3 linked regions of the Schizosaccharomyces pombe genome follow. The protein of the gene in region 3 interacts with the protein of the main gene of each other region in a pairwise test. Each region holds a gene or a part of one and is shown on either strand. Other genes may lie near its edges. The genes, in order: SPOM_SPBC887.17, ptp4 and ima1.

Region 1 (3,757 bases), on a different chromosome or scaffold from region 3:
GAACACAGATAGTAAAAAAAATCGTTTGACAAAAAAAAAAAAATTTGTTTTCCGTTTTTTGTTTGGAATCCGTCTAGGTCGTTAGTAATTTAACAATTTCAGCGAAAGACAGCAATTGAATGGGTTTTAATTTTCGGTACAAAGAGAATTGACTTTTTATGAAGCGACTACGAAGGACACTTGATATTGCTATTTTCAACAAAAAATAACATAATGTCGATAATTAAACTACCACGGCTTGTAAATAGAAAATAGCACTGAAGCGACCTGTGAAATTGTCAGCGTGCTATTGCTAAACAATGATTCCGTGTAATTTTATATGATTGTGCTTTCATAACAGATGTGCATGCGTAGAAAGAAAAGCTATAAACAATCAACATAGAATACCATTCACACTAGGAGTAGCATACCTTAAACTCATAGGATCCAATGAATTAACTTGCAAATCCATTTAATAGTTAGATTGACTGATTTGTACCAAATTGGTAAAATGCCGGTCCCCATCCCCTCTAAAAAAAGGACTCTTTTATTTACCGGGATGCCATTGACATCTCTTCTGTTTTGCATGTTTTGGAATTGAAAATGCAATAATAAAAAGGAATCAATAATTTTGGATTCCTGTCTAATAATTGACGGTTTTGTTATCTTGGTTGAAAAATCCATCCCAGCTGCCTAAAAGCTGCTACAACCTTTGTTTAATTAGTGCGACACAGTTAAAAATACTATATGTTTCGTAATACAGTGGATGATTTCCATTAAACTTTTGACTAGATCAGCAGCGATTTTTAAAGTACATTATACCTTAGCCGGCTAAAAACATATGGATTTGGAAAAACTACTAATGAATGTATTAAGAGTGAACATTACAGTCGGGTGCTTTGCAGTACAAATATCCTGGTAGCTGCATTAAGAAAAAGATATAGTAAAGCTGTTAGTACAAAAAAAAAAGTAGTAAATAATAATATAATAAAATAACGCTTGATAGTCTTTTAAGAATTTCATTTTTCGAATACCGCCTTGTGAATTATGCGTAGTTTACTTGTATCTATATCGTTTCAAATTTTCATACTTCAAGGATTTCCCTAAATGAATTCTTGAATCCCCCACTGAAGTCTTTTTATCCCACTTTAATTTCATACCACAGTTAAAATCATTTGCTAACCTTCTATAGCATATAAACTTATGTACCCCCAGTAAGGTCTTTTTCCCCACTTTAACTTTTAGTATTAGCTGCACCTACCAGCATATGTCCCCCACATGTGTTTTTCTTTTTACTATGAAGGTTCAATAATGGGGGTATTCAAGTCAAAATAATCTTGTATCTGTACCGTCAGAGAAAACTCACCAAACGAACGAGCACAAGTATTAAATCTATAATCACTTACCTTAATGATTTCGTTTACTTTAATTATCTTATAATTGCATGAATTTTGATAAGCGATTGCAAAAACGAACAAATGTGATATAAATATGTTTGTATAGGTGATATCTTAAACATGGCTCGGACCAATTTACAATATCCTTACAAAGTCCTGTGGTGTGCTCAAGTTAAAGTCGTTAAAACGGGTTTAATTAATTTTTTTGCTCCTAGCATTCAGCGTCAACGTGAGAGAGTATGTGAGGGTTATCTACATGAAACCCCCCTGTTACTAATGCAAGTAGTAGAAAGAGAAGCAATAACTTTAGCAAAGACAGAATTCAAAAATAGTTTTAGTAATCTTCATTTTTTCTTTCTTTTTTGGCTGCTTAATTTCATTTTATTTTTCAGAATACATTTGTATTCTTGCAATTTTCGCATGTCGATTATTTGTGAAGAATACTACTAATGTTATCATTGTTACTTTTAAGAATTTTTTATATCTTTGGAGTAGGTTATTGGCAGTGGAATTTTGAGTTTATCTCATTTTTTGAAGTAGCGAAATTGACGCAGTATCTGATAGCACAGCTATTGGCTGTTAAATATAAGCGCCCAAATTTGACTAGTATTTAACAGTCCTTGGGTCCATCAGCGACACTTTGCATTTTTTACAAACTTTTTTCTAAACACCAATTTCTATTTCTTTGCAGTAATAAAGAGGTCCTGGACTGAAAACTCACTGTTGTACTTAATTAGGTGTAGGTTTGCATCCAGTTGATAAGGATTATAAAGTTTTTTCAATCTTCACGTTGAGATCGAGATTCATCGCTTAGCAGAAAATTTTTAGATTAGTGGTAGGTCGAAAAGGTTCTGGATTTTAGAAAACGGCTTTGATCAAACAACTTTAAAGATTAGATTGCTTTTATCTCGATCTTTGTTTACAATTTCATCAAAAGTTTTTTAAATTGCTTTTACTGTTTTTGAGGTTTGGAAGCAAAATCGGTTTCTTTCCTTGTGGGTTTTGGGATTTCTCTAATATTTGTATCTTTAATAAGTAATCTATTTTTGTGAAAAGGGCTTTTTGCTTAGCATTAACACGGATCTTTCCGTTGATTTGTTGTGTTTTATTTATCCTCGGCAGGTTATTTGGATACCTAGTGTAATATATATACATATATTATAAGTATTCTCGTTTTTATTGTTTTAATATTTCAATCCTCTTTTCTTTTTTTCCTTAGTTTATCGAGAAGATGAGCATCACACAAAAAGTAAGGAATTGGGTCGAAGAGTTCGACGTGATCGTCGCTCGTTCGGCATTCGGACGTTGGTTTCGTCTAGAGGGATGTGGTCATCCTCGGGAGCGTAAAGGCAGTCGCTTTTCTCTCGAAATTAGTGCTGGTCTTACTACCTTTTTTGCAATGGCTTACATTTTGGCTGTCAATGCTACCATTCTCGTAGATACGGGCGGCACTTGCGAATGTACTGAAGCTAATCGTGATGATTGTGACAAACTTGATGACTATGTACTTTGCAAAGAAGACTTTCATCGTGATCTCGTCACAGCCACCGCTGCCATTTCTGCTCTCGCTTCTTTCTGCATGGGTCTTTTTGCCAATATGCCCGTGGGTATGGCCCCTGGTATGGGTTTAAATGCTTATTTTGCGTACCAAGTTGTCGGATATAATGGCACTGGACGTGTTTCCTATCGAGAAGCTCTTTTAGCTGTTTTTGTTGAAGGATTCATCTTTACTGGTTTAACTGTTATAGGTCTACGCCAATGGCTGGCGCGAGTTATTCCTGCCTCTTTGAAATTTGCTACTGGTGCTGGTATTGGTTTGTATCTCACAATTATCGGACTCAGTCCAAGTGCTGGGTTAGGAGTCATTGGGCATTCCTCATCTGATATTGTCGCTTTAGGAGGATGCCCTCCAGAATACCTAAACGCTGATTATAGCTGCAACGGTCATCAATTACAATCAGGAAGAATGTGGGTAGGTATATTCTGTGGCGGTGTTCTCACTGCTATTTTAATGATGTACAAATTTAAAGGTGCTGTCCTTGCTGGAATCGCACTTGTCACTATCACAAGTTGGCCTAGACGCTCATTAGTAACTATGTTTCCCCACACGCTTACAGGGGATTATAATTTTGATTTTTTCAAAAAGGTTGTTAGCTTTCGAAAAATTAACCGTATTCTTGTTGCCCAACAGTGGAACGTTACAGGCGGTCAATTTGCCATTGCACTGATTACTTTTCTGTACGTTGACATTATGGATATGACTGGTACACTTTACTCAATGGCTAACTATGCTGGTTTGGTCGATCCTCGTACTCAAGACTTTGAAGGATCCGCAGTTGCTTACATCGTCGATGCTTTAAGTATTTCTATTGGGTCACTTT
Region 2 (3,619 bases), on a different chromosome or scaffold from region 3:
AATTCTTCTGTTCATGTTCTTCTGCAAGTTTTCTTTGCAACTCAATTTGTTCACGCTCAAATTCCAGTTCCTTCCGCTTTAAATCATTTTTTAGGTTTTCTAGTTGAAATTCTAAAGAAGCTAGTTTGGGATTTTTTGTTTCTACAGGGTGTCAGATCCATAAACAAACGTCAAATATAAGTTTCACATACCATTAGCAGAATTAACAGAAGGCTTCTTCAAATTTGGTTTCTTAACGCTTGTTGCTAGAAATCTAGGCAACTGTGAACGCGATTGGAACGGATCCCTAGGAGAATCCGCCATGGATGTAGTCGCTTGATACACTGTCAGCTTGGAGCTCATAGTGAGAAATTGATTTTTGGTATACCTCTTTAATATAATATTGACAATATGGAGGACAAATTGCATCTCAGTAATTTATTGAAATCAGGGAATTAAAGAAAGGTAGGACTGACTGCATATGCTCAAACAACATACTTGTTTAATGATATCTAAATTAATGGAACTTATTACTTTTTCTTTTTTTTTAAATCATAGACCTTGTTATTATTATATTATATATTTAATGTGTTGAATTCCTTAATCAATTTTCGATGCACGTGTGAACATAAAAGCTTTTAAGTCTTCTAGTTTTTTTATATTGATATTATTATTATTTATTTAAATTGCTAGACCAAATCGCGTACCCTAAGGAACTTACGTAGTCTTAACATAAATTATAATAGTTTTTTTTTTTTTTTTTTTTTTTTTTTTTAATAAAACTTCAATTTGAACAATTAACCAATAACTGAAAATAAACCTGATTTTGAGCAGACTTATTATTATTAAATAAAAATTATTACTTCTAGTTCATCAACTAAAGAATAATGGTTTTCGCATTTAATTTTCAAAATTGCTTGGCAATGATATAAGCTCTAAAATGGTTTCAGTTTCTTTTAGGAATTTTATTAGCATACATATTCAAGTTATCATTTTACTTTTTAATAGAAACTTTCGCGTACTTGAGAATTGTCTTTATATTTTCAATTAATTCTCCCATATTTGACAACAAAAAGCGAAACGTAAGAGCTCACAATAGCATCTAAAGTTTCGTAAAGTAGCGAAATCCACGTTGCGCTATTCTGAAGGTTCAGTGACTTATAAATGATTCTGCATTGGCTGTATGTCGATGCAGTTATTAATTCTCTTAATATATCATCTAAAGAATATTTACATCTAAAGCCATATAGTGTATAACCCATTCGTTTTGATACTGAGTCATCCTGCGAATCACTTTCAAAGCTATGCTATTCATCTAGGAAGTCGAGCTCTTATATTGGCAGTGATAAATAAATAAATTTTTTCCAACTGATGAAGGAAATAAATCGGTTTCTTTTGGGACTCTCAGGAAGTCATTCATTCTATTAATTTTGACTTTAGCTCATAATGTTTACGGAATAAGGAGGAATAGTGCAACGATAAAAAAATAGTGAGCTATATGCGAGAACATTCCTTGCCTCGCATATACCGATTCCTTGCATCACGGCCGGTATCGCTATTTTTTTTTTACCCATTAGAAATACCTTTAGATTGGAAAACACTACTGAGCGAATACTCATCCAATGTCGACTAAATTGACGTGGTCGCAATGGTCCAAAAAGCATGAAATTCCCCGTAAAGCACTCCATACTTCTATTGGTAAGTTGTTTTTATGACTTGGATTAACCGGGTCTAGGATTTTTTGCTCTATTACTTCAGGGATGTGGATACCACGCTGCTCAAATCATACCGGTTATAGAAATTGGATTCATACCTGCATTTACTGGAGATGTAATTCGTTTTAACTGGCCAGCTTTCAGCCGCCTTTACAATCGCGTTATTGGTCCTTTGATGCGAGAGTCCGAAAAAAATGCATGGAATGGTGTTATTTTTTATATGATCGGGGTATGGATTGTTTTAAAAGTTTTTCCAGAGGTAAGTAAAAGTCATTGTAATGTCTATCATTACTGTTATTATTCTTTAAGAAAAAGGAAGATATGGTTTTCCTTGTTCCAGGCGATCCGAAGGGTTTTGTTTTTTACTGGACATACTACTCTATAGAACCCATTTTTTCACGGAGAATGATTTTCTATTCTAAGTATTTGTCAGACCAAGCATATTGTTGTTGCATAGAGTTTAAGTTAGTATTTTTGATCATGATTACTCAAATCTACTTTGCCTTGCTTGATCTTTTCCTAACTTCACCTTCCTTCTTCTTTTACTTATATATTATGCCATAGTTACTAACTAAGTTCAGGAGATAGCAGTAATGAGTGTCCTTTTACTGTCATGGTGTGACACTACTGCCTCAACCGTTGGTCGAAAATGGGGCAAGTATACCCCGAAAATTGCCAAAAATAAGAGTTTGGCTGGAAGTTTGGGCGCATTCGTTTGTGGTGTTTTTTGTTGCTATGTGTACTGGGGCTTGTTTCGTACCGGTCCTGACAGCTTGGCCGCTCAAAGCAGAATTCCTTTCCCTTGGCTTTGCTTGATAAATGGATTTATTGGTGCCTTTGCAGAAGCTATGGATGTGTGGGGTCTTGACGATAACCTTGTAATTCCTGTCGTTTCTGCCTGTTTACTATATTTAATCATGTGATAACCATGTTCTTTTATACTGACATTCTTTTGTTTTTTCCATTCGTCCTTTCCCGACCACGTTTGAAAAATTATTGAATATAGTTATGTTTTGTTGATTCGCTCCTCCATTTATCACCATTTCTATTGTTCATCTTTTTTCCGTCTAACCAGTATGCGTACATACTGTTAAAATGTATAGAAATACCTACAAGCTTCATTACCCAGACAATTTTAGGCTTTTTGTATGAAACATGACGAAATCGTGCAATTAGACTGCCTATATAGTTTCTACATAGCTTGTACATATATAATGGTCGTGAAGAACCTTATATTTAGCAGTTTTACACTAGAGATTAGCTAAGTTGAAATTAGTTTTAGGAAATTAGCTTGATAATCATTTTGTCAACTCAAAGTAAATAATAATTATTTCCAATGTAACTGTCTAAAGTTAAAGTAAAGAAAAAGGACAATTGATAGTATCAAAAAAAATCGGATAGTCTTAAGCCAACTAGATCAAAACAAATTAAATAATATGAACAACGTACAGTTAAACCCAAACTTGATTGTGGTCATACAGTATTGAAATACTCTCACCATTGTGTATGCGACGAATTGCCTCCGCAAAGGTAGGAGCGACATCGATTATGTCAAAACATCCACTTGGTGTAATAGTTTGAGGAGCGGTGTTTGTAACAATAAGCTTGTCAATGCAAGAAAGTTTTACACGCTCAATAGCATCTCCTGATAAAACACAGTGAGTGACGAGAGCATAGATTTTGCTAGCTCCATGTTCTTTGACAAACTCTGCTGCTCGAACTAGTGTGTAAGCGGTATCAATAAGATCGTCGATGAGGATGGCGACTTTGTTTTGTACATCACCAACAAGCATCAAAGATGTTCCGTATTCATGTCGGCGATTCTTATGAATTAAAGCAAAGTCCAAACCCAGAGCATCAGCAATAGCAGTAGCACGTTTGGCACCACCAGCGTCGGGAGATACAATTACTGCGTTATGATAATT
Region 3 (3,757 bases):
CCATAGGGAGTCCTTCATGTCGTCAGTGTAATAATCGTATAGTAAAACATGTCGAATTAATACTGGCAAGCTATAGTTGCCGGTAGAAAAATGCATCGAAAGGCTTAATCCATCTACTCGATTCTTCTTTAAAAAAGCCCCTAATCGTTTCTGCACCAAAGGCATATCTACTTTGAACTCGTACACCTGTTCCTGCATCGGTGAATATTCAGAAGACACTTGCTCAACACTTTTGAGATATAGTTTATCCTGTCGACGCATAACAATATCCACTAACCCCCCTAAAAACGGATTCTTTATGAGACCTTTATTTCTCCCAGACACTACTACGATACCCAAGCTTTTACCTGTTAAATTCTCGATGGATAGATTACGATCCAACTTGGATAACCAATCCTGACTCGTAACATTAATATTCACATCGCCCGTAGCCTTAGCAGGACTGTTGTACTCGGCTTTGCGAGATTGATAGCCCGGATCCGATTTAAAAAACTGCTGGATTTTCCTTGTAGTCTTTCTCAAGAAAGAGTTTTCCTGACCTTCATCATCAACTTCTCTCAAAATATCCAAACCCGATTGATTAGATATCGACATATTGTCGAATGTCGGTAAAATACTTTGAAACTTTTAAAACTTCGAGAATCGTAGAAAAGAAGAAAAAGGATACCAATATCCAGAATCTCAAAACCACAGTGCGTCCAACTTAAAAATAAAAGGTAATGAAATGAAGTAAAAAAAAAAAATTATTAAAATTTGGTTCTTTCCAAAGGGCTTTGTTTCCTGTTAAATACTAAATATGAAATCGTTTATCTTAGCTTAGCCATTTTGCCATCTTCATCATGCTTTTCCTAACAACGCTCCCCAAGCCACGTAAAACATCAACTTTCGCAACTCGTCCTATTTCAAGTTTACGAAGACATCCAATTTCCTAATCGTCTCTACCCTATAATATTTTGTATAATCATGGTCTAAGCCATTTCATCGTAGCGATGAGCCTCTCGTAAGTTAATTAATGGCGCAGCATATCAATTTTAATCAACTTGTAATAGAATAGAGATGATCATGCTGTCTATTGCTTATAGTTACAAGACTAGATTTCCTTTCTCAACATGCAATAAGGATTGAAAAGTAAAAATGAACTACTTGTATGAAATTTTCGTTTTCGTGCTTAATTCATGATTATGACCTTTTGGAGTCAGTGACATACACCGTTTCCATTGACAGACATTATTGAATTTTTTTTTTACAATGGGGCAACAGTCAATGTTGGCGCAAGCTTAAGATGCAAATGCAATCTTTCATTTAAAAGCGGCTTGTTTCATCAATACATTTGACATTTAACGATGGCTTGTAGGCATTGTTGTAGACATCCACTCAGCCTACATTTTGTCAATACTTTTCTACACAACTTCTCAAACTCGTTCCTTTGTAGCTTAAAAATTAAGCGAACTTAAAAACTATTAAACTTTTTGTTAAACGAATTATTTGCATAAAATACCAAAAAGATTTTTTGTTGACTTTCACCTAACAAATTAAGAGCGGTTGGTTTTATTAAAAAGAAAATTTATTAAGATATTTCTCATTGCATTCCACTTCAATGCGTCGTAGAGCATATCATAAGTAAGGCTCTAAAAATAAGCCACAAACACTGATCGTTCTTCTGGTACAATGGTTCAAATTTTTTTTTTCTAGGAAGCTCGAAAAAGAAAATACAAACAAAAAAAAATTAAACAGCTCATTTCTTCAAAAACTCCTTTTATCCTCAATTTGTTTGAACTTTGTTCTGACAACCCGCTACGAATTGGCTTGGGACCCTGCTGACGGTCGGCCTTTTCCCTATTCTCACCACGAGCACCGTGGGGAAACTGTATAGTCGAAATCTTCGAGTTTTCTTGCTCAACATTTCAAGAAAACTTTTATACTATTCAAGTGTATCTAATTGTTACTTCACTCGTTATTTAGTACTTCTCTTTTACTTTGTCAAGCAGCACAAGTGTTTGATAAAGGTCATTCTGTATAAGGGGTCCTCTGTACCATTACACCTTGTACCTTGATATAAAAGATATTTACATGCATTTTATTTCCGTTAACTCACAGAATATCAGTTGTTTGGTTTTCTTCTTACGTGTGCTGGTTTGACTTGTTGTTTCCCTTTTTTTTTTTAAATTTGCACACACAGGATTCTATGAGAACTTTGCATTAAATGGTATAATGGGAAATGGAATCTAGCCGATTGTTTACACTTGGATTGGGAAATTCCGATGATGGATTGAAATCCACTTTTGGTGATAAAACAGTAACTTGTTTTTATTGCAACAAGAAGAAGGAAAAAATTAGAGACGGAACGTCTACTTGGACTTGCTCAATTTGTGAAGCCACCAACCATATTGATGAGAAAGGTGATATCCTGGATTATCGACCTCCAACCCCAACTCAAGACAAGGGTGTTGGTCCTTTTTACGCGATACGGGATTTCCCAAGCAGTTCTTCCTTTCAGAGCCCCTTTTGTGAAAAATGTCAAATGAACCAACTGATTGTGAATCGGATGCTTGCTGATTATCTGCCAGACTCATCACATCCAGATTATCAGGCTTATGAGAAGGCATTACCAGAGTATAAAAAATCTATAGAAGAGAAATTTCCCATTGTTTGCTCTGAATGCTATGACTCCGTTCAAGACCAACTTGATGCCAATGATTATGAAGCCAAAAATCAGGTTTTAGGATATTGGCTGCAAAAGTCAAAGGAACAGCTAAACGCAAAAGTCCCCCATCACTATCCAAAAGCTTCTTTTGTTCTTTGGTTACTTCGTGGATTTGGTTTTTCGTTTTTCTATTTGCAATCGATTGTGTGGCATTTGTATCATTCTATGATAATAAGCTTATTACCAGATGGTATTCGTAATTTATTTCTAAAAGCAATCTCTTACTTCCTATTAGATGGATCCTCTAGCAAAATTTTTTACTTTAATTGGCTTGGTTTTTTCGTTGTCTTTTGGAACCCGTATTGGTACAAAATGATGGACAATCCATCTTGGGAGCTTTTTGGGCGGGATCAGTATATCCAATGTCAGGCACTTTATCTTATTATCCGTTTAACTTGCTTGTATCTCCTTTCATGTTATGAGTCGGAAATTTTGAACTTAAGCTCGGATACCAATCTTGAAAGTGATTTTTTACTCCGTCAAATACATGCAGCCTTTTTCTTTGTTACCATTTGTTTTACATGGATTAGCATCTCATGTTTAAAGCCAAGTCCTCCTCCAGAAGTTCATTTGACTGGCGAAATTTTGAAACCACGCAAGAAGCGTCAGGAAAGTACATCTTCTGTGCATCGGATAGGAAAGGAATCGAGTGACAGAAAAGATGGAATTAGTGGGCAGAATAAATTGCAGCAATTTGCGACAATTTCAATTCTGAATAATACCAACGCAACGTCTCATTTGGGAAATCAGTCTGTTCGTGAGAGAGCTCCGGAGGAATCCCCTATGACTTTTCTTCAAAAAAAAATGGCCGCCCTTCCAACATCTAGTCCTGTTCGACCGATGCTTAAACCTACTCTTCAGCTTCAAAATTCTCCTTTATCGAAACTGGTTCCTCAAGAAGTGGGCAACAAAGTAAACGATTCTATTCATACGACGTCTAATCAGCCAAGTAAATTTTCCCTGAACCCTTCCATATCTCTAAAAGGTGATAACGTGATAGAGAAGAATTTACCTTTTTCCGTGTCTACTTTAAAGTCCACTGCAAAGAAAGAT

What was found.
Region 1: the proteins of ima1 (region 3) and SPOM_SPBC887.17 interact in a protein complementation assay, tested with the Schizosaccharomyces pombe proteins (one large-scale study listed by BioGRID).
Region 2: the proteins of ima1 (region 3) and ptp4 interact in a protein complementation assay, tested with the Schizosaccharomyces pombe proteins (one large-scale study listed by BioGRID).

Annotation. Positions count from the first base shown.
Region 1 is NC_003423.3:3,573,425-3,577,181, forward strand, and holds the start of SPOM_SPBC887.17 (transmembrane transporter), read left to right. Parts: upstream 1-2,018; 5' UTR 2,019-2,607; coding exon 2,608-3,757. Other genes in the region: SPOM_SPBC887.16 (uncharacterized protein), read left to right, coding at 1,497-1,826.
Region 2 is NC_003423.3:1,276,757-1,280,375, forward strand, and holds ptp4 (phosphatidate cytidylyltransferase Ptp4), read left to right. Parts: upstream 1-1,588; 5' UTR 1,589-1,601; coding exon 1,602-1,677; intron 1,678-1,714; coding exon 1,715-1,953; intron 1,954-2,275; coding exon 2,276-2,617; 3' UTR 2,618-3,043; downstream 3,044-3,619. Other genes in the region: mitotic spindle checkpoint protein Mad1, read right to left, coding at 1-141, 192-303; ribose-phosphate pyrophosphokinase Prs5, read right to left, coding at 3,146-3,619. UniProt on the Schizosaccharomyces pombe protein: CTP-dependent diacylglycerol kinase that catalyzes the phosphorylation of diacylglycerol (DAG) to phosphatidate (PA). Controls phosphatidate levels at the nuclear envelope. Counteracts the activity of PA phosphatase ned1.
Region 3 is NC_003421.2:1,888,934-1,892,690, reverse strand, and holds the start of ima1 (inner nuclear membrane protein Ima1), read left to right. Parts: upstream 1-1,826; 5' UTR 1,827-2,218; coding exon 2,219-3,757. Other genes in the region: SPOM_SPCC737.04 (uncharacterized protein), read right to left, coding at 1-594. UniProt on the Schizosaccharomyces pombe protein: Inner nuclear membrane protein that specifically binds to heterochromatic regions and promotes the tethering of centromeric DNA to the SUN-KASH complex.